4 linked regions of the Bombyx mori genome follow. The main gene of each other region encodes a partner of the protein of the gene in region 3 in a complex. Links are inferred from orthologs where the notes say so. Each region holds a gene or a part of one and is shown on either strand. Other genes may lie near its edges. The genes, in order: integrator complex subunit 9, integrator complex subunit 4, integrator complex subunit 1 and integrator complex subunit 7.

Region 1 (6,161 bases), on a different chromosome or scaffold from region 3:
TTGACGTTTCATTTCCATAGGTTTCCTACTTCATTGGCTGCAACCACGGAATAGATCTATTCCGTGGCTGCAACAGTATCTCCCACTGTTTCCTAACTAGCTCCCTAGTCTCTGGTAGTTGGTTCAGTTGCTAATACTAATACTATTTTCCTAATGGAGAAATTGTGTTGATATGCCTTTTTTGTTATCGATGTGCTTCAGCTAAAAAGTAAAGAGAAAGCAGCGCTTGTGTATTGTTCGGATTACAGCAATGAAGTGGCGTCAGTCTGTGCTAACACTGCGAACTTGTCTGCTCTGTCGTCGTCTGAGGTTCACTTTGCCAAATTAAGAATCCGTATAATTAGTTTGCACCACTGAAGTATGAAACCTATCTATGGTTTGCACATGCATTTTTATAATGATCTGCTCTATTTGATTTGTAAGGCAGACAAGGCTATTGTCCATCAGGTAGAGAGCTGTGACGTTCTCTGATGACAACGGCGGTAAAGCAGCTGCGCACCGCTTTTTCCTGTACTAAATAGTCAGCGAAAGGTCCATAGAACATGTAGATGTAGTGAATTGTATTGGCATTCGTCACATTTGTTTTAATTTAATGCGGAATTATTTTCCTTATCATGAGGACTATATCTATATATATATAAAAATGAATTGCTGTTCGTTAGTCTCGCTAAAAGTCGAGAACGGCTGGACCGATTTGGTTAATTTTGGTCTTGAATTATTTGTGGAAGTCCAGAATTATTTGTGGAAGTCCAAGGTTTAAAAGGTAGATAAATATGAGAATGTTCGGAATTAAATAAAAATAAAAATTTTTGATGTGTCCCGCGTCGGACGGATTCCTTTTATTTGTTTTAAGTTTATTTTATACAAAAGTTTAGGTCTTTTATTTCTCGATTGAGGCACTACGAAGTCTGCCGGGTCAGCTAGTTATAATATAAAACCACGGATACCATATCACCACACGGATATAAATAAAATAAAATTCTTTTATAAACCGAATGCATGTATGTGTGTATGTACGTAGGCCTTTGACTGTATTCCTAACCTAGGTTTTTATGTTTAATAAACTCCGCATCCATTCACGGACCGGTTATTATTATTCGACTCGACTGTGTTATGTACTTACCTAGCGGTTGTACAGAGTTGTGTTTTTTTTATTGCTTGGATGGGTGGACGAGCTCACAGCCCACCTGGTGTTAAGTGGTTACTGGAGCCCATAGACATCTACAACGTAAATGCGCCACCAACCTTGAGATATAAGTTCTAAGGGTCTCAGTATAGTTACAACGGCTGCCCCACCCTTCAAACCGAAACGCATTACTGCTTCACGACTGAAATAGGCAGGGCGGTGGCACCGCCCGCGCGGACACACAAGAGGTCCTACCACCAGTAATTATGCAAATTATAATTTTGCGGGTTTGATTTTTATTACACGATGTTATTCCTTCACCGTGGAAGTCAATCGTAAACATTTGTTGAGTACGTATTTCATTAGAAAAATTGGTACCCGCCTGAGATTCGAACACTGGTGCATCGCTCAACACGAATGCACCGGACGTCTTATCGCTTAGGCCACGACGACTATTCTTACACTTACACTGTATACATATAAAATATATAATTACCTACAACAACGTAACAAATGTTGTGTACAATAATAGCATAACGGACTTGGATATGACTTCCCACCAACATAATTTATAATCTGAATTGACAAGTAGATAATCTAATTTTTATCACACTAAACTTGACTGGAATAACACTAGGTATATCTGCTATACAGTACAGTATAATAATAACAATGTATTTCATGGTTCATAATATATTACTTACCAAAGGTTTTACAAATAGCTTAATAAATAGACATACCCGATCCTGTGGACCGAACGGTAACAAGTCGACGTCGCTCTAAACACGTCATTACGGATCCTCCCGATTCATTATCGGTACTTTTAAGTACACACCTCAAGCACCGGTCACCGTCCTCGCCGAACCCGTCGCTTGTGACGAAGGGCTCGACGAGTAAATTAACCCATAGACATAGCACACTGAGTTTCTCTGCTCTTGCTAGGGCCAGTGTTAGCAATACTTCCGGTTTGAGCACCGTGAGTTCACCTACACGTTAGGGCGAAGCTGAAATAGCCTCTCACGGCTATCAGCATAGGTAGGAAAAAAAATGGACTAGAGAGTGATACGGCTAACTCTTTTTCCCGAGGAATGCAAATGCAACGAGTTTCATTGTTTCCGAATAACAAATTCAACGAATATGGAACCGTAGTACAAATTTTGTTAATTAATGAATTACATTTAATATCGTTTGTTTCATTTTACTTTTACACAACAGATATAACTCGTTTGTTACAAATATTTAGTTGTATGTATTGAATATGCTCCCTTTGCCTGTCGATTAAAACAATCAAATGCTTATCTGACAGATAATATCTGTAGGTAGGTAACTAGAACCTACCTACCTACATAATATAAATATATTTTGTTTAGCTATTTTGAAAGTACTTATGTACCTAATATTCATTTATTTCAATTAATGATGTTGTACAGTTATGTATTATCTATGCAATACACTGAATAAACGGTTCATCAAACCTAAGCAAAAATAATATTGAAGCCGGACAAATTGATAAAGCAGTTACTAATACATAAACATACTTTAGTAATAAACAATATTCGTCCGCAAATTCGAAATATAATATATAAACTAATAATGAAGCTTGTAAGTATGCAATATCTTCACTAATTTATTCAAAACACTTGAAAAATATGTAAGAGTTGAACTTGAAACACAAAATACAAAAATAATATTAGAATTCATACTATTAGAAGATTGTGTTAGAATTAAACCTGCAGGACGCGAAAACAAACCAAATTGCAGTGGAGTGCTCCATTTGCAAGTAGTTTATTAATATAGTAAATTATTTTACAAGAACAGCCCATACGTTTTTACTGTAATGATATCCTGGGTAGAGAGGCAGTCTCCCACATCCCCACAATTTTTACATACAATTTTGTTTAAGTGATTATTTCATAGCTTTTTGGGATATGAACCTAATACTAGAGACTAAAGGCACCACAAGATGAATGATACCTCTAAGAATTTGTCCCTCTCTTCTATTGAAGTATTGATTGCTTGGATCCAATGACTAACCAGTTAAATCGGAATGCATGATTGTGTCTGAACAGAAATAAGTAGAATGGTTTGAAATTGTCATAAATCATTCTATGTGTACTCTAAGATCACAGCTGTTATACAGGTACTATAGGGACAGAAAAATAGGTGTGGCTTTAAAATACCAGGATGGCTCCACTATTCTGGCATATCTGTTTAATTGAGCATTACCATATGGACCCCTGACTTATAAATAATATAACCAGTGCTTACCTTAAACAATGTTTGATTTGATTACAGTATTGTTTAAGCAATGATGCAGCGAAGCCTTGCTTTGTGTTGTCTTTCAAAGAGCTCCTCATAATGTTGGATTGTGGGCTGTCATCCCACTCTGTGCTCAACTTCCTACCGCTGCCTCCAGTGCCTAGCACTCGACTCGCATCCCTGCCTAATTACACACCACCACATCACAATGATCCACTCTTGGAAGGGGTATAAAAATTAAGCTTATTACATTTCTTATTATCATTATTTATATATCAGTACCTAGGTATAAAGTGGTTACTGGAGTCTCTGGTCATGACAACATTATTACCACCACCCACCTTGAAACATGAAGTTGAATTCTCAGTTGTATTGTATGATGGTTGTTCCATTCTTCAAACAAGAGGCAATCACAGCAAAAACAGACAGGATACTGAATCCACCACTAAATATGGTATAGTCAGTATGCTGCTTTAATACTCACAGAATGCTTATTCTCTGGTGAATCCATTAGGTACAGTCTTTAAGCAAAAAAACACATTTCATCAATTAATTATTTTATATACAAACATTAAATTAATAAAAAACTCAAAACTCCTCATTAAAATAATTTTTAAACTTATCCAACTGTATCTCTCAGTTACATTACACGTACCTTCCAAACTGCATTCAACAGATTTCTGATATAAAAAATCAAAGGGACTCATATTTTAAATCTGACTCCAATGCTATGATTAAAAACCCTATGTCAAATAAGTAATAACATGTTAAATTTAATGATATTTCTTTATAATAAAAACAGAATCAATATCAGGTGATATTTAAACTAACCCATCTCATTACAGGAACTAAAGGAGTGTTGCGGCAGAGTGTTTGTTGATAGCATGCCTGAGTTTTGTCCGCCTCTCGATAAAGTAGTCGATTTTTCTCAGCTAGATGTAATTTTAATCTCAAATTACACTTGCATGCTGGCCCTGCCTTTTATAACAGAAGATACAGGTTTCAAGGGCCAAGTGTATGCCACTGAACCTACTCTACAAATAGGAAGGTATTCATTCTCTATTCTTTTTATGCCTTCAAAAGTATAATGATAAAAAATATACATTTCTGTATTGTATATATGGTTATAGAGTATATAACAACACCATATTATTGTAAACAGAATATGCTTATTGAAAGTACAGTATCAGAATGGATTGAAGCAGCAGAAAGATGTAATAAAGATAATATATTTGGAGGTTCTACCTGGAGGAGCTGTCGGAGTGGGTGTGCTCAAGCGGGTCGGGGTCGGGCTCGGCCAAGCGTTGGAAGGAGGCGGTGCACGTGCTGCCCGCCCCCCTCGCCGACGTGGTGCGGCCCCGCGCGTGGCGCCGCCTGCTCGCCCCGCACCACGTCGCCCGCGCCCTCGCGCGCGTCCGCGTGGTCGGCTACGACGAGAAGGTCGACCTGTACGGCGCGCTCGACGCCACCGCCGTCAGCTCCGGCTTCTGTCTGGGCTCCGCCAACTGGGTGCTGCGCTCCGCCCACGAGAAGGTCGCCTACGTGAGCGGCTCCAGCACGCTCACCACGCACCCGCGCCCCATCAACCAGGCGGCTCTGCGGGGCGCCGACCTGCTGGTGCTGGCCGCGCTCACGCAGACGCCGGCGCACAACCCGGACCACATGCTGGGCGACCTGTGCGTGCACGCCACCGTCACGCTGCGCGCCGGCGGCTCCGTGCTGTGCCCCGTGTACCCCAGCGGCGTGCTGTACGACCTGCTGGAGTGCCTGTCGGCGCACCTGGACACGGCGGGGCTGGCGCACGTGCCGCTGTACGTGGTGTCGCCGGCGGCCGAGGCGTCGCTGGCCTACAGCAACATCCTGGCGGAGTGGGTGTCGGCGGGCAAGCAGGCGCGCGTGTACCTGCCCGAGGAGCCGTTCCCGCACGCGGCGCTGGTGCGCGCGGGGCGGCTGCGGCACGCGCGGGACCTGCACGACGACTCCTTCAGCGCAGACTTCCGCCAGCCCTGCGTCGTCTTCTGCGGACACCCCAGCCTGCGCTTCGGCGCCGCCGTGCACCTCGTCGAGCTGTGGGCCTGCAACCCGCTGCACGCCATCATATTCACAGGTACGCAGCCCGCTCTCCCGGCTCGATTATGGTTTAGGGGACAATTCCAACTGGTCGCGGACGAGTAAATGAGCACATGGGCTCTACCAGAAAGAATGTGCCAACACTAGTCCTAGCAATAGTAGTGTTTCGCAGAATCTACCACCGGGTCGGAATCGCAACCCAAGAAGTTGAAGGTACTCAATCTACCGCTGAGTTAGTAAACCTGGTAAGTGGGCGCCGCGCGAACTGAACGATCGTTCGCGCGACCAACGCGTCTAGGTGCCAAGGTACTTCTCTGTGTAGAAACGGAAGGGATTTTGAACCGCATTGTCACTTACAATGAAAAATAAATTCTTTTTAATAATCGTAAGCCGTCGCCCTGTTAGTTAGACCCTGCTTTAACCTTGGCGTTGCCACAAACGAAAACACCCCTACAAGACGATTAGGGGAGGAGAGGGTTGGAAGTTTTTCAGTCATTAATTTGGTAGCTAAACACAACACAGCACAATTTCCGACACTTACCAACCAGCCTTCCTGAAGAGTGGTACCTCCGTCCTAAGAACTGTCATTCGTTTTCGTTTACTACTTAACGTCAAGAGAATATTTCTAAATTGTTCTAAGACAACAAACGTGATTGGTGTGCTCAATATTCCTCTTAGCTCGATTACCCTAATCGCCCCTACGATG
Region 2 (5,700 bases), on a different chromosome or scaffold from region 3:
TTATTGCAAATATTTGTAGTCTTATTGTTATTGCAATATCGTATTTGACACCATTTGCGCACAGAAACCGTGCCAGCGGTAGTTGATATATCAGCTTCGTGTAGTTTTTGCCTTGAAGTCTGATATTCTGAAGCAAGTTCTTCTGCTAATCGAAACAGAAAGTCTTTCCGTGAGATATTTTCCTGTTGTGTTTTTGTATAATATCCAGCTATTTATTCCGGCTAAATCTAAAATATTGAAAAACACTTGAAGTGGCCACCTTCTGCAACCAGACTTCACCGTATATTTTCGTGCCATTTGATCAGTCACATCGACGCCAAATTTAGTTTTATTATAAAACAATACAGTTTCAGGTATTTTTTAGCTGCTTTATCAATTTTGATGTTTTTATGTTTTGTACTTAGTAAAAGTACTTTTTTATTACCACATATTTTGTTTCTACATCAGACGCTAACCAAAATTTGATGCCAAATTTATGGGGTTTGTTTGGCATATACTAAGTAAATCTGCATCTGGCCTTCGTTGGAAAAAGTTGCTCATCCACAGTAATAGAAGCTCCCGGTTTGAAGCAATTTTGACTGTTTTCAATAAATTTATCCCAAACTGCTGAGACTAAAGCGAACTTGTCTGTTTGCAAACGTTGACTCCTCTGATTTCTTTTATCGAACCGAATGTATCGTAAAATATCTGTAAAATCTCGTCTACTCATAGTGCTAGAAAAAAATGATGGTCCCCATTTTTTATTCCACAAATATTGAAGTCTCAAAGTATTTCCTTCGTATGCCCCACGTGCGTACAATATTACAAGAAATGCCTTCAATTTTTCTTGCGTGATTATCCAGGTTTTCCCCAAAACTCGAGAGGCTTCTAGCTCTGTACAAATTTTCGTTTTGACATTTTTAGGGGCTAAGGATATGCAGGCTACTTGCTGAACAACATATATTTGAATATTTTTCAAATACTCATAAATGTTTATTACGTGTCACTGTATGGGTAAAGATGAATGATTACGTTTGGAGATCGCTTGGACTAAGTACTCGTAAAAAAATCGTATAGATACCGTAATCGCCTAAATCGGCTCGATAACGATAACGTAATGAACAAAAGAAGCATGGGCACTATTTGTATTTTCACGGTCTCATGATTCTCCCGAAATCATACATTTCTTCCTAGAAACATGCACCAGTCATTTTGACTGGTTCTGGTATAAATAGTTATAACAAAAAATATATTTGTTACTAACATTATATAAAGTAAAATTAAGTTCATAAAATGTATTCTCTACTTATACCTACAAAAGTTATAACATCAATTTGGAAAGCAAATATTTAATGTAGTAGTCATTTTGAATTGAAGTTGCACGACCAGTCAAAATGACTGGTCTGGTAAATCTAGTGTTAATTAAGCAATTGTAATAAAGTTAATATGTCGGCAACTTTTTTTTATTAAAAGTAAATAAGAATAAAAAATTTCAGTAAATAAATAAGTATATATAAAATATTTTAAAAGTCTGCCAGACTGTCGCTCCCTTCGAGAGCCACCAGGAGAGTTTATTTTTATAGTCAAAAAGTATGTAAAACAACACTCGTTTTTTTTTTTAAATAATGTTATTGACTTTCTTTGCAATAAAAGTCTTACATTGTTTACATGATTCATGATCACCATAACTTTTAAGTTCTATTTCAAACGTTTTTTAATGTTATTATTAATTGATTATAATTAAGTGAAATAATCTTAATCGTATATAGATTCGTATGTAAGTGATAATTGTTTAATCACAATTACAAACCCAACAATAAACAAAACAACAACAACAAAATATATAATGTGTGCCTCTCCAATACATCTCAGAACAATGAATTTGAGGATTTTTTTTTTGTTATTTTCAGTGTAATAACGTTACAAGATGACGAGACCACGATACGAATGGTCGATGACGCTTTTGTTCGCATATGTTCGGCCGTGAACGATCTATGCATGCAAGTGCGAGCGCTCGCCTGCACGCTGCTCGGCACCACGCGCGCCGTTTCCGATCGCTTCCTGTTGCAGACCCTCGATAAACAACTAATGAGTAACATGAAGGTGATTACGGAACCAACACTAAATATACCATTGAAATACACATTTAAATATGTTCAGACATTATATGGATTAGAAACGCACACAAAAACGCTTATAATATTCATGTAAAGAAAAACCTTTAAAGCTCTTTTAGTTTTTTAGATTTTTCTGAGCACGGAAGCACTCACCTGTCATTCCATGAAGTGACTTGTTCAGTTTTGCATCTATATCTATAAATCTATAGTGGCTTTTACGGATGTTCCGTTATAATTACTGAACCATATATTCGATTGACTTGAAACTTGGTATCCATGTAGAAAATACATGTACTTAATGGATAGGCTAATATTTATATGAGCGTTGGACTCCCTACACCAGTTGTGGGGGCGTTAATGATAAGAATCTTTTTGGAGGGTGAGAAATAATAATATTAATTTTAAATGCCTAGCGAAGCGGACGGGTACAGCTAGTAGTATAATAATACTGCTTAAAATATTAATTTAAATACAGATTAAGGGCTTTAAATGTTGTTTTCTTATTTATATTACAGAAAACGCAATTAAGTCTTTGATTGTACTCATTCATTCTGGCGTATTTGATATCATTATATTCATAATATCATTATATCGCGTGTCAATTCGACCACGTCTTAATGTGATTTATTTGTTAAAACACCAGGCATATGCGTGGCGTTTGTACCGTGATCATGGAAGCAGCCTTCCTTGGTCTCATTAGCTTTATCTCATATCTAATTCACATTTAATTATAGTGTAAATTGAATATAATACAGAAAAAGCGCACAGCACACGAGCGCGGCGCGGAGCTGGTCCGCAGCGGCGCGTGGGCGAGCGGGCGGCGCTGGGCGGACGACGCGCCCGGCGCGCTGGTGCCGTCCGCCGCCGTGCAGCTGCTGCCGGGCGGGGCGGCCGGCGCCTTTGTGCACGGACTCGAGGACGAACTCATGGGTCAGAGCATAGATAATACACATAATTTAGTTATAGATAAGCAACTCAAGCACTCAACAAAAATGTTTATGGGCGTCGGCCACTAGATGGCTACGCTTCGATTAGTTTTTCATTGCTCCTGTAGATGACAATAACATATTAAGCATCGCAGGCTTTATTTAAAAAAAAGTATATTTTCAGAAACCCCAAAGTGATAAAATTTAATCAATTTTTCTATAACAAATAAAGGCTTGTAAGATTTACAATATTTTTTATAATCGAATTTAATTATTGTTTTCAACGTAATAATTTGTTCTAATTGTTCTTTATGTTCCCAGAGGTGCGCACGGCAGCCGTCGAAGCATTGTGTCAACTCTCACTAGAAAACCCGGTGTTCGCGACCACCTCCCTCGACTTTTTGGTGGACATGTTCAATGACGAGATCGAGGAAGTGCGGCTGCGAGCCATCGACGCCCTCACGAGGATCTCGCATCATATCGTACTTAGAGAAGACCTACTGGAGACCATACTAGGAGCCTTGGAGGTCAGTCCCGGAGATACTAGAAGCTGATAATAGTCTATTTGTAATACAGTTGTAGGAGCAGCCGTAGTTAAGCTGCTTCAACTGGCTAGATTGTCTAGGCATTGACTCGGAAGATAGGTAGCACAGAGAAAATGAATATTGTTATGCCTTTTAGGTTACGTATATTGTATATAAGATTGGATTTATGTACAATATAGGTAAATTAGCACATAAGTAACTCTAAATAAACGCAAGTAAAGAAGCATCTCCGAACCTGTTCCGAACAAAAATAGCGTATGATTGGCCTAAAATCATAAGCGACAGCGATTTTACCAAAATTGAAAGGCGGTTGCCCAAGTAGTGGTATGAAGTGGCGGGTAAGTGAGTCGCCACACAGTCCTTGTGATGCTATGAAGCCCGCAAGTCACCCTCCTGCTTGGTTTGTTCAGGAAGAACTCATGCGCTCCGTTTTCATGGATGGTGGAGCAGTGATTAATACAACTGCGACTCTACGACATCTATTACCACTTTTCCCTGATGGCAGAGAGAGAGAGAGAGAGAGAGAGAAGGCGAGAGAAAGAGAGAGAGAAGGCGAGAGAAAGAGAGAGAATGAAAGTTATTTTCTAATTTTTTTCCTAAGTAACTAAACAGAAATCTGCCACCATCAAACTTCACCTCTTTCTACGAAAAAGGGCAATTTAGTTTTTACTGGAAAATAATAGAACTTTGGTTTTAGGATTATTCAATGGACGTCAGGGAAGGTCTACACAGACTGCTGGGCTCGTGTACAGTCGCGTCCAAAACATGCCTGGAGATGTGCATTGATAAAATTCTGGAGAATCTCAAAAGATATCCACAGGTATAGCTATTATTAAATTACTTGATAAGAGTACTAGGGTAATGTTTTGATTATAAACATCAATGTGAAAGAGATGTATGTTTTTGTAGTAGTTCCTTTTAGTGAATGACTGACTTGGCACAGTAGTTAATGCTGAGTGCTGGCTAGAATGTCTTGGGTTCAATTCCCACATCGGGCAAACATTCGTGTGATGGATATGTTTATGTGCCCTTTGTCTGGATGTGTAATATCTAAATATGTATGTATTTAAACGTATACATATAATTTGAGACATGATGGATGAAGGACATATGATAAACTTTGGCAACAAACTTTTGTTAATTGTACTTTTTTTTCGTACATAACTTCATCACATGCAATATCTAAAAATTGCCTTTAATGCCAGGGGTTTTAAGGTCTAATATATTTTATTGTCACATAACACCTTCATTCAATGTTAAAACTCAAAAATCTTAAAAATGGTACTTAACTCATAATCATCCACTCATGTTTTTAAGTATGTATTGTACAAGGTCGCGGTACACGAGGAATGGCGATGTCTTATGAAGCGCTCCACTACCCGAACTGATGACCACGACCACCCAAGAGTGCAAACGACTGAGAAAAAGAATTAGTTTTTTTTATTGCTTAAATGAGTGAACGAGCTCACAGCCCACCTGGTGTTAAGTTGTTACTGGAGCCCATAGACATCTACAACATAAATGCGCCACCCACCTTGAGATATAAGTTCTAAGGTCTCAAGTATAGTTACAACGGCTGCCCCACCCTTCAAACCGAAACGCATTACTGCTTCACGGCAGAAATAGACGGGGTGGTAGTGCCTACCCGTGCGGACCAACAAGAGGTCCTACCACCAGTAAAAAGTGTCCGTTGTGTTATTGTTCAGGATAAGCGTTCGACATTCCGTTGCGTGCAGCGGCTGGGCAGCTCGCACGCGACCCTGGTGCTGCCGCTGACCACGAGGCTGCTGGCCGTGCACCCTTTCTTCGACATGCCTGAGCCAGATGTTGAGGATCCAGCTTGTATCCTTTGAACAATATTAATTTTAGAGACATACAAAATTCCCAATCAGTTCTTTATTTAGTGTTTTTTTTAAGGGATTTTATGACCTGGTAACTAAGACCTTTAGGTCATGTCTTATTTTAATTTATATTCTTATTGTTTTGAAAAATGATAATATGGAGTGAAATAAAATGAAATGAAGATGATTAATTGGAGACATTAATCAACTGGGATGAAATAAAATAAAATGAGATGAGATGATATGGGGTTAATCTCTGTAAAATGGTTGTGATTTACTGAGATTTTTTCAG
Region 3 (5,149 bases):
CTGATGTTCCGCGCGGGAGGGGGGGCCGCGGGGGGCAGCGTCGGCGGCAGCTGGCGCCCCCTGCTGGTGACGCTGTTGGCGCACCGGGCCTCCTGGCGCACCCTGCACACCTGCCTCACCATGCTGCTCGACCACCCAGGGTATGCGGCTGCACTCGCTGCGACCCTCGCTAACTATTCAATCACCAAAACAATAATTAAAGACCTTATTGCTAAGGCAAACTCTTCCCATTATGTAGAGGAAGAATTGCAGACAAAAAAGATGCTGGTGTTCGGTATATAAAATATCAACAATAGCTACAAGTCAAATCTAAAAGTGTACAATTCCCAAAAATATTCGAAATTGAGTTAATATGCGGAATCATTTGGTATCACCAGTATTTTTCTCATAAATACTGTCAAAAGAGCGTAGTTTAGTTTTAGTTTTATTTTTTTTAGTTTACCTATATTTTGACTATTAACAAAATTAATACATAATTTTATCTTACTTTAAAAGACAGATAGTGTAACTGGTAAAAACTAAAAAATAAATGTTGCAAAGATGATTAATATTAAAAATATAATATGTTAAACCTATAAAACACTCTCCTGTAAAATTTAGCAAGTTTTAATGCGAGAAGACGATATTAACAATAATGTGCAGTATATAGTTTAGTTGTGAGTAGGTTCAGATATGTATATGTTTGTGGTACTGTGTGTGCGCAGGGACTGGGCGCCGGGCTCCGTGCTGAACCTGCTGGAGACGCTGTGCAGCTCGCCGCGGCTGTGCCAGGGCCGGGACAAGGCCGCGCCCAAGCACCACCAGCCGCCCGACGCGCTGCGCCTCACGCACCGCCAGGTCGGCGTGCTGGTGGGCTACATCGTCAGCGAGGGGGTGCGCGCCGAGCGGGGCGGCGGGGAGGCGGCGCTGCGCCGGCGCGTGGAGGCGCGCCTGCCGCTGCTGCTGCGCTGCTGCGCCACGCCCCCCGCGCTGCTGGCCGCCGCCCGCGCCGCCGCGCACCACCACCCAGTGCTGCTGCTCATGCTCTATCTCAAGGTGCTCAACCTGTACCTATGTAACGGATTTTTTCAAAGTAGTGAAGTCATCGTGGCCTAAAGAATAAGACGTCCGGTGCAATCGTGTTGAGCGATGCACCGGTGTTCGAATCTCAGGCGGGTACCAATTTTTCTAATCAAATACTTACTTAACAAATGTTCACGATTGACTTCCACGGTGAAGGAAACGTATTACCGCTTCACGGCAGAAATAGGCAGGGCGGGTTCGTCGTGCGTCCATTATTTTCTGTTACTCATTTATTCTATAATTAATTTGGGAAACAAATGATAAAGTTAGGCTTAACAAAGAACAAACAAGTTTCAACCTTCAACAACATAATATAAAATCAAATAACTGGCTTACCATTACAAATAAGTATTTGTCGATAGAAAATCATGCTTTTATGACGTCATTGAAATGTTTAATAATCATTGAGTGTAGGTTCCGAAGACAGCCGAGCTGCTGCGTCGCGCGGAGTCTCGCGGCGGGCGGGGGCCGGGCGGCGGGTTGGGGGGCGGGGCGGGCGCGGGCGCGGCGCGATGCACGCCCAGCGCCACGGACCAGCCCACGCACACGCTGCTCACCGCCATCACCGCGCCGCACCACGCGCACACCAAGGAACACACGCAGAAGTATTATAACCGTACTAACGCTCTCTCGTGTCTCTGAGAGACATGCGGACTTACAGAAGTTAAATTAGAAATCTTGAAATAAAATTTAATCTGTGAGCTTAATCCGTTCACATGCGCCGTTGGTAGTAAACCGGGCTCAAAGCGGCGCCCCGCACAACTGAGCATTCGCAACATCACAAACTGGGACGAGTAATGCTAGTAGTGTCTGTGTTTTATACTAACATGGCAGATAATCAGTCAGGCCAGAGGGTCTGTCTGTAAGGTGTGAAACAGCTTTTTTTTATTGCTTAGATGGGTGGACGAGTCCACAGCCCACCTGGTCTTAAGTGGTTACTAGAGTCCATAGACATCTACAATGTAAATGCGCCACCCACCTTGAGCTATGAGTTCTAAGGTCTCAAGTATACTTACGACGGCTGCCCCACCCTTCAAACCGAAACGCATTACTGCTTCACGGCAGAAATAGGCGAGGTGGTGGTACCTACCCGCGCAGACACAAAAGAGGTCCTACCACCAGTAAACTAACTTGCGTTGGTTCCCAGGCTATGGCGCATGGAGGCCGACATCCGCTCAATGTGGGCGCGCGTGGAGGGTGCGGGAGCTAGAGCCTTGCCCCTGGCCGGAGCCCTACTGCGCGGGGCCGGCGCCCTGCACGCAAAGCAACATCAGTACCTACTCTCCGCACTCGAAGTGTTGCCAGACTCGGAGATATTTGCACCCGCTGTGAGGTATATGATCTGTGTAATTAGGGTTGCTATTTTTAAAACAAATATTTTTATTTAACAAACACCCCTCTAGTTGAATACCAGCCTTGTTAGATATAAAGTCAATTAAAAATAAAAAGTTGATGAGAACATGGAGTAGAAACTCCAAGCTATAATTAAATAAAGTTTTCAAACAAAGACAAACAGAATTTATTTGTAAACTTTTTCTTTCACATTTATCATACTGTGAAACGGTTTTTTTTTTTTTTTTTAAATTCAATACCGCAAATACTGATGATGTTGCCGAAGACAGAGCGCAGTGAAGGAGAAAAATAAGGGAACCTGATCCCCTACTTCTCTGTGGAAGGAACAGCTAGAAAAAGAAACAGATAAATAGTTTGATTTATTTTAATTGTAGGTAATAAATAAAGGCACAATTTCTCGTACGTTATTATTACTTAGGTCATGTTGTGTGATACTCCAGTGTAAATATAGGGCCCATATTAATTATATACTACATATTTTTTTAACAGTGTGATTGCAGTAACGTATAATTTACAGCGAGGAGATCCACAGCATCCTGGAGTGCTTCGTGCAGATGGTCCGTCAGACGGAGGGCGGGTCGAGCGCGCTGAGCCACCGCGTGGCCGCCCTGCTGCGCCGCTACCTGGCCTGCCGCCCGCCGCGCGCCGCCCTGCTGCTGCACCAGCACCGCGACGCCATCGCGTGAGTCGCCGCCCACACACACGTCACCACCTACATACCGCATACAGCCGGCCATTCAAAAATACATGTGTGCCATTCACACGTGGTAGAAGTGAAACCTTAAAAAATTCAAATACAATTATTATCCTAAATGTCTAAGTATATGTAAAATTTTGTCATTAGTAAATAATTGTAAATCATCTGTTATATAGTATGAGGTATAATTGTAAATTATCTGTTATACAGTATGAGGTAGCGCCCTCTGTGAATTGATATTTTAACTTCACGTATAATCCTAAATTTAAATTCACTACAAGAGGTTTCATAAACACGTTAGTATTAAAAAAGGGTGCGTGTACTTATGTACGCGCGTAAGAAGTTATACTTTATTTTTATAATTTTTTTATTTAAGTTTTAATCAATTTGAAAAAAAATCGATTAAACAACATCCTCAAACACGCATATTGGACATCATCCCTTTTCTTGACATCGTATAAATTCGGTAATTCTCTGTATGCTTCAGAAAGTTCACCTGCGGCTATATTCAGACCCGCCGAGTTACGTCGGTCGTATTGTAATGAGCGATTTAGTGGGCAACTTCATTTCTGTTAATTTTGTGTCACGGTGCGCGCGCATCGGTAAATTTCACTCTCATAAATTTTCATAACGCGTCTAAAGAAGTATAACTTCAAAAATCTCATAGATGGCGCTGTATTAAAAAAACACTACACTGAGAACGTGTGTTCTATCTCATTCTCTCGCCGGCTGAATCCTATACGTTTATGTGTTTGTGTTTCTATGGACTTATTTTTTCGTTTCATTGAGTTTGAAATCATAACGGTTCTAAAGAAGTTTGACTTCAATTAATGAAACGTACTTGTTGTGACAGCTCGTCCCCCGCCCTGAGCGGCGTGTCGGAGGGCGAGGGAGGGAGCGGCAGCTGGAGTCCTCCTCCGCACGCCGTGCGCGCGCTGCAGCGCCGCTCCGACCCGCCCGACACGCTGCACTGGCTGGTGCAGGTAACCGTCGCACTATATGCTAGACAGCTCACACCCCACTGCAAATATTGCGGTGCTTCAAACTAGACTACCCAACTAATTTGAGTCTAAAATAGATCTAATTATACTTTTTATTGCCTTTGTAAGCATACGGCCCACCGGGTAGTAAATGGTTACCGTCGCTCATGGACATCAGCAATGCCAGGAGTACAGCCAAGTCGCTGCCTACCTTTACTCATAAACTAATTCGAGAAGTCAAAATTGATATGTCAAGAAGCAACAAATGTCTGTAGAGTGTTGTTGTGCAGGAGGTGGAGGCGTGGGGCGCGCGGCGTGGCGGGGGGTGGGGCGGCGCGGAGAGCGCGGGGGGCGTGCTGCGCGCCGTGGCGCCGCTGGCCGCGCACGCGCACGCGCCGCTGCGGCTGGCCGCGCTGTCGCTGCTCGCCAGGCTGCTGCCGGCCGCGCCCGACCCCGCCCCGGGTGCGTAGCGTCGCCGTACCACACGATACTGTTCTGTGCTTCAGAACAAATGTCGTGTCCGCCAAAGAGTTGAAATCAAACGTCCATTTTAATTTCAGCCTTCGAAGCAATAATGGAGTGTCTGGAATGTGACCAAGCGGAAATAGCGCAGTCTGCCCTGGAGAAGCTCCCGGAGCTGGTGGTGGGCATGCAGGAGTACGCCGCCGCGCTGCTGGCCGCCGTCTTCGACCTGGGAGTCCGCGGGAGACTCAACGTGGAGACGCACCTCGCCAAGACCATTCAGACGCTGAACCTTCACCGGGCCTGCTAATATATTATATGCTAATTAATACATTTTGTTCCGATGTTCTCAATCTGGATTAAAGCAGTTTGGGTGTTCTGTGCGACTTTAGCATGGCGGTTGGACACCAGAATGATTACTTTCATCAAGAGTCAATATTACTGACTATGTACAGTCAATTGTAGGGACAATTGTTCCTATTACCCTATTAAGACCCGTTTAGCATGGAGATATTTATAAGAATTATAGTATTGTTCTAAATAAAGTAGGCTACTTACGCGCAAACTTAATTCTATAGATATGTAGATTTCGGGA
Region 4 (4,651 bases), on a different chromosome or scaffold from region 3:
CTTCCTCTCTCTCTATCTCTCTCATTTATATCTGTTTTTTCTGGTTAATGGATGAGGGGTTCCATTCCTGAACTCTGGTAAACCTTGGTTTAACTAAGAAGTATAATGTTGGTAAAAAATGTATACCATATTAATAATAATAATAAATTGAGATGGGCGGATCGGAAAATCAATAAAAGTTACTGAGATGGTCAAAATACAAAATTACGTTAAGACACTGTTGCCACAAGCGTCACGAGAAAGTACACCGTATTATTCACGCGTTAATGAATATTTTTAATCGTCTTTAATTCCGCGGAGTGTCCTATTACTGTCTGCCGTTACGCGTTCTCGTACTGCACAATAAGACCCTGAGCCGGCGCACCAGCTCGCAGCACACGTACACGCAGCTGTCGCAGCTGCTGGACTCCATCGCCAGCAGCCAGCCGGAGCGCGAGCTCACGCTGCCGGAGCCGCGGGCCACCAGCCTAGACGAGGCCGTGGCGCTGTCTCCCAGCAAGGCCATCGCGGCCATAGCGAGCAAGCTTGCCGAATTCCCCATGACCACACCCGGGATCACACACAGGGTAGGCACTTACTCTTTCGGACACTCCTAGGTGGCCCCAACATTGGGGGTATTGTATCGTCTGCCACTGTTGGAGCAGACTTGGGTTCAATCTCCACCTCTAGCGAGCGTTCATGTCACGAATACGTTTACCTGCTTTTTTGTGTGGGCGTTGAATATAATATCAATTTATTTAAATGTATATTTGTATATCTTTGAGTCACTGAATACAATTACACATACAAAAATTAAATTAAGGAATTTACTGGTGTGAGGACGTCTTGTGAGTCCGCACGGGTAGGTACCACCGCCCTGCCTATTTCTGCCGTGAAGCAGTAATGCGTTTCCGCTTGAACAGTGAAACAGCCGTTGTACTGTAAAAACGGAGAACTTAGAACTCATGTCTCGAGGTGGGTGGGCGGCATTTACGTTGTAGATGTCCTATCTCACCCATTTAAGCAATAAAAAAAGAGGTGTCAGCTTAGATTGGCTCCGCCTGTGTCCTCTAAGGAGTGTAGTGGGAGGGAGCAACGGGCAATTACTGGTAGTCGAAAGTATTGCACGCACGGGTTGAGAACAGACCCTGCCTATTTCTGCTACGAAGCGGCTATGTTCGAAGAAAGGATTAGCTTATACCCGTACACGCATATGGTGGTAGATACAATCACGTCCTTACGGATCCATCAGATCCAATAACCTTTGCATTAGACGCCTTCAGCTCTAACGCTAAAGGCTAACTTAAGGACTCCTGTAACCGTACTCGTCGAACTCGACAAAGACAAGAGTTCGACGTGCAACTTAATTCATACATCAGTCCGCTGAACTTCTCGCCGGATCTTTTAAGCGAGTCGCGATTCCGATCCGGTAGTAGATTCATTCGCGAAACAGTTGTTCTTGAGTTGTTAGGTCTCCTTCGGAGGTGCTCGGGCAGCTGTTAGCAATTCCTACCCCTCCTGGCTGAGCCTATGCTCACCCACCTGTCCTGGTGAAACTGGAAAGGCCTCCGGGCCACCAGTAGTACTTCAATCATAAAAAAAGATATAGTAAGGCACTGCGCTTGCTAGGGGCAGTGTTGACAACCTATTTCAGGGCGAGCCCCGTGAGCACGGCCACAAGTCGAAGGTGAAGACAGAGGGTACTGGCAGACTTGTAGGCACGGTTATAATTGTAGACATGAGTGGATGAAGGGGATATGATACAATTTATTAATTTTTAGTAAACGGGCAAAAAACTTTTGTTACTTGTACTTTTTCTTCGTACATAACTCCTTCATCACATGCAATTTCTAAAAATAGCCTTAAACCCGGATATTAAGGTCTAATATGGTTTATCGGCACATAATACCTTCGTTCAATGTAAAAACTTAAAAATCTTAAAAATGGTACTTAACCCCTTCATCCACTCATGTCTTCAATTGTAATCACCAAATCGGGACATACCCCTGGGCTCTGTCGTGTCACTCACCTTGTTTTCTTTCCTACCTATTCTAATAGCCTTGAGAGGCTATTTCAGCTTCTCCTTGACGTGTAGATGAGCTCACGGGGCTCAAACCGGAGTGTTGCTAACACTCGCCCTAGAAAGAGCAGTGCTTCGCGAAATCTACCACCGGATCGGAAACGCGATCCACTGAGAAGATTCGGCGAGAAACTCAGGGGGCTGTGTCTGTGGGTTAATTTACTCGTCGAGCTCTTCGTCACAAGCGACGGCTTCGACGAGGACGGTGACCGGTGCTTAAGGTACCTAAAAGCACCGTTAGTGGATCGGGAGGATCCGTAATGATCACTGACCGAGGCGAGTGTGCAGCACGCGGAGGCGGTGGTGTGCGCAGTGCGGGCGGCGGGCGCGGGCGCGGTGTGGTCCCGGGGTGCGTGGTCGGGGCGCGGCACGGGCGCCGTGTGCCGCGTGTCCGTGTCGCCGGCGTGGCGGCCCGCGCCCGCGGACCACGCCGCCGCGCTGCCGCTGTCCCACCGCCTGGCGCTCAAGCTGGAGGGCGTCATACTGCCCGCGCGCCCGCTCGCGTGAGTCCGCGCATCTACATAACTACATAAACACAAGGGGGGGGATGTAGAACGGAAACTTACACATAAATGTAACTCCCTGTACGACTTGTTCCCGCGTTTATCAAATCGTCACTGTCAAACCAAAATCTGCTATGTGCCAAAACTCTGTTTTGTATTAACGAGTAAAAACATTTTCGTATACAATTTTATATGAAGGTGAATTTTTAAGAACTATATCAATTAAAAGCTATAGATAAATATTAAAGCTATAGACATATAACAGTTTTTTTATACGGTAGATAGGGCCGTGAACTATACGAAAAGTTCAAAAAGTAAAAATCTCTAAAAGTTCACATAGCAGATTTTGGTTTGACAACGACGATATGTCACATGTTCGTTCACGCGTTTAAAACACTCACAGTAATGTAGTGACATTAACAAATAATTCAATGTTAACAAAAATGCGAGATTAAACAGTAAAACGGTTTAAATTAGGTATATCAACGTCTAACAAAAACCGCAGACAGTGCTAGGAACCGGCGCGGAAGCTTGCAGCGTAGTTATTTATCTGTCTGTTTGTTTGTTTGCCGACACCCCCGAAATTACTGAACGTGTTTGCTTTTTTTTTTTTTTTTTTTCTTTATTGCGCCTGTAGGAAGACGACTTTATTGGTGGTAGGACCTCTTGTGAGTCCGCACGGTCGGTGGTGGTCCACCTTGCCTATTTCTGCCGCGAAACAGTAATGCGTTTCGGTTTGAAGGGTGGGGCCGCCGTTGTAACTATATTGAGACCTTAGAACTTATATCTCAAGGTGGGTGGCGCATTTACGATGTGGTTGTCTATGGGCTTCAATAACTACTTAACACCAGGGGCTGTGAGCTCGTCCACACATCTAAAAGTTTACTCCATTCAAATAGCTGAAAAAGTTTTTATGTCGTGTTTTTTTTTAAATTTAAACTGCATGTTTCTCCTGGAAAGTTTCAAGAATATCGCTTAAACCAAATAGCTGTTTACCCGTCGATATGTATCTCACAGCAAACGTCAGCAGCAGCGACAAGTTAAAGGCGTCCAAATCACGGTGACCGCCACCCAGCATCCGAGGACCAACGAGAAGGTACTGATTACATTGTTATACCACGAATTAATTCCTAAGGTCCACTCGGATAGAGGCTCTACTGAGGTCTTCGAGCATTGTAGATCACCTAAGGTTTCAGCCATAATTACAATATCGTCGACAACCCGAAGGGGAGTTGTATGTTGATGCCTAGCCCGTTCCAGTCCAGAACTTTGAAAGCATTCTCCAATGCGGTGGTAAATGGTTTCGGAAAAACAACATCTCTCTGCCTCTCCGCTGCAGAAGGATGGGTTCCAATGCCCCGTCCTGTAATCGGACTGACATAGTAGCGTATTCATACAAACACTTCAACACTTCGATATACTGGTAATCAATTTGGCACCGTTGGAGAGACTGCAACGCGGCCCAGGTCTTAATCGAATCAAAGGCTTTCTCGTACTCCACAAATACTAAGCGTAGCGTGGATCCGGTCATCGTTCTCGCCGAACCTGTCGGTTGCGACGAAGGGCTCGGCAAGTAAATTAATCCACAGACAGCCCACTGAGTTTCTCGCCGGATCTTCTCAGTGGGTCGCGTTTCCGATCCGGTGGTAGATTCTGCGAAGCACGGCTCTTGCTAGGGTTCGTGTTAGCAAAAACGTCAGGTTTGAGCCCCGTGAGCTCACCTACTAGCCCGGTGACGGTGATATGGTTTCTCAAAACCATCAGCTTAGGTATGAAAAAAAAATGCGTGGGTAGGCCTCCCACAAGATGGACAAAGGAGCTATTGAGGTTCGCGGAGATCCGCTGGAAGCAAGCAGTGCATAACCAGTCGTGGCGAGGTTTGGGGGAAGCCTCTGTCCAGCAATGGACGTCTGTAGTCTAATAGTAGTAATTCCTAAGGAAGTGTATGTATTACGGTTCAGTTTACTGGGACACGCTTTGTGCCTCCATGAAGAGGTACTGTTACGAGATGGATCCAGGAGCTCTTTAAAAACAAAAGGAAACTGTGACTGACATTCAATTTATTTTATAAAAGAAATAGTACAAACGA

The links.
Region 1: integrator complex subunit 1 (region 3) and integrator complex subunit 9 share a complex: the UniProt entries of both Homo sapiens proteins name them as parts of the integrator complex. The link is inferred for Bombyx mori from reciprocal best matches to the Homo sapiens genes INTS1 and INTS9.
Region 2: integrator complex subunit 1 (region 3) and integrator complex subunit 4 share a complex: the UniProt entries of both Homo sapiens proteins name them as parts of the integrator complex. The link is inferred for Bombyx mori from reciprocal best matches to the Homo sapiens genes INTS1 and INTS4.
Region 4: the proteins of integrator complex subunit 1 (region 3) and integrator complex subunit 7 are in contact, whole or in part, in a cryo-EM structure (PDB 8RC4), measured with the Homo sapiens proteins. The link is inferred for Bombyx mori from reciprocal best matches to the Homo sapiens genes INTS1 and INTS7. Residues at the interface, in NP_001073922.2 of Homo sapiens: Leu1378, Gln1381, Gln1382, Gly1385, Gln1386, Ala1389, His1429, Phe1430, Leu1431, Cys1433, Pro1434, Arg1437, Gln1438, Cys1440, Gln1441, Pro1476, Ala1479, Gln1480, Met1483, Leu1484, Gln1487, Arg1552, Pro1554, His1555, Leu1556, Glu1557, Glu1558, Pro1613, Ser1614, Gly1616; in NP_056249.1 of Homo sapiens: His150, Asp151, Leu187, Ala188, Thr189, Pro190, Val191, Lys194, Thr223, Ser224, Tyr225, Pro226, Ser227, Thr228, Asn262, Asp263, Pro264, Arg265, Lys266, Pro303, Tyr304, Gln349, Glu350, Cys352, Tyr353, His354, Asn355, Arg357, Ala360, Gln384.

Annotation. Positions count from the first base shown.
Region 1 is NC_085111.1:140,820-146,980, reverse strand, and holds the start of integrator complex subunit 9, read left to right. Parts: upstream 1-2,428; 5' UTR 2,429-2,719; coding exon 2,720-2,728; intron 2,729-3,421; coding exon 3,422-3,613; intron 3,614-4,230; coding exon 4,231-4,433; intron 4,434-4,623; coding exon 4,624-5,492; intron 5,493-6,161. UniProt on the Homo sapiens protein: Component of the integrator complex, a multiprotein complex that terminates RNA polymerase II (Pol II) transcription in the promoter-proximal region of genes.
Region 2 is NC_085121.1:12,650,886-12,656,585, reverse strand, and holds part of integrator complex subunit 4, read left to right. Parts: intron 1-1,889; coding exon 1,890-2,082; intron 2,083-2,851; coding exon 2,852-3,026; intron 3,027-3,343; coding exon 3,344-3,549; intron 3,550-4,264; coding exon 4,265-4,387; intron 4,388-5,273; coding exon 5,274-5,409; intron 5,410-5,700. UniProt on the Homo sapiens protein: Component of the integrator complex, a multiprotein complex that terminates RNA polymerase II (Pol II) transcription in the promoter-proximal region of genes.
Region 3 is NC_085131.1:770,457-775,605, reverse strand, and holds part of integrator complex subunit 1, read left to right. Parts: coding exon 1-140; intron 141-704; coding exon 705-1,035; intron 1,036-1,476; coding exon 1,477-1,667; intron 1,668-2,209; coding exon 2,210-2,395; intron 2,396-2,932; coding exon 2,933-3,097; intron 3,098-3,965; coding exon 3,966-4,095; intron 4,096-4,382; coding exon 4,383-4,554; intron 4,555-4,652; coding exon 4,653-4,864; 3' UTR 4,865-5,149. UniProt on the Homo sapiens protein: Component of the integrator complex, a multiprotein complex that terminates RNA polymerase II (Pol II) transcription in the promoter-proximal region of genes.
Region 4 is NC_085129.1:14,680,769-14,685,419, forward strand, and holds part of integrator complex subunit 7, read left to right. Parts: intron 1-367; coding exon 368-566; intron 567-2,347; coding exon 2,348-2,562; intron 2,563-3,579; coding exon 3,580-3,658; intron 3,659-4,651. UniProt on the Homo sapiens protein: Component of the integrator complex, a multiprotein complex that terminates RNA polymerase II (Pol II) transcription in the promoter-proximal region of genes.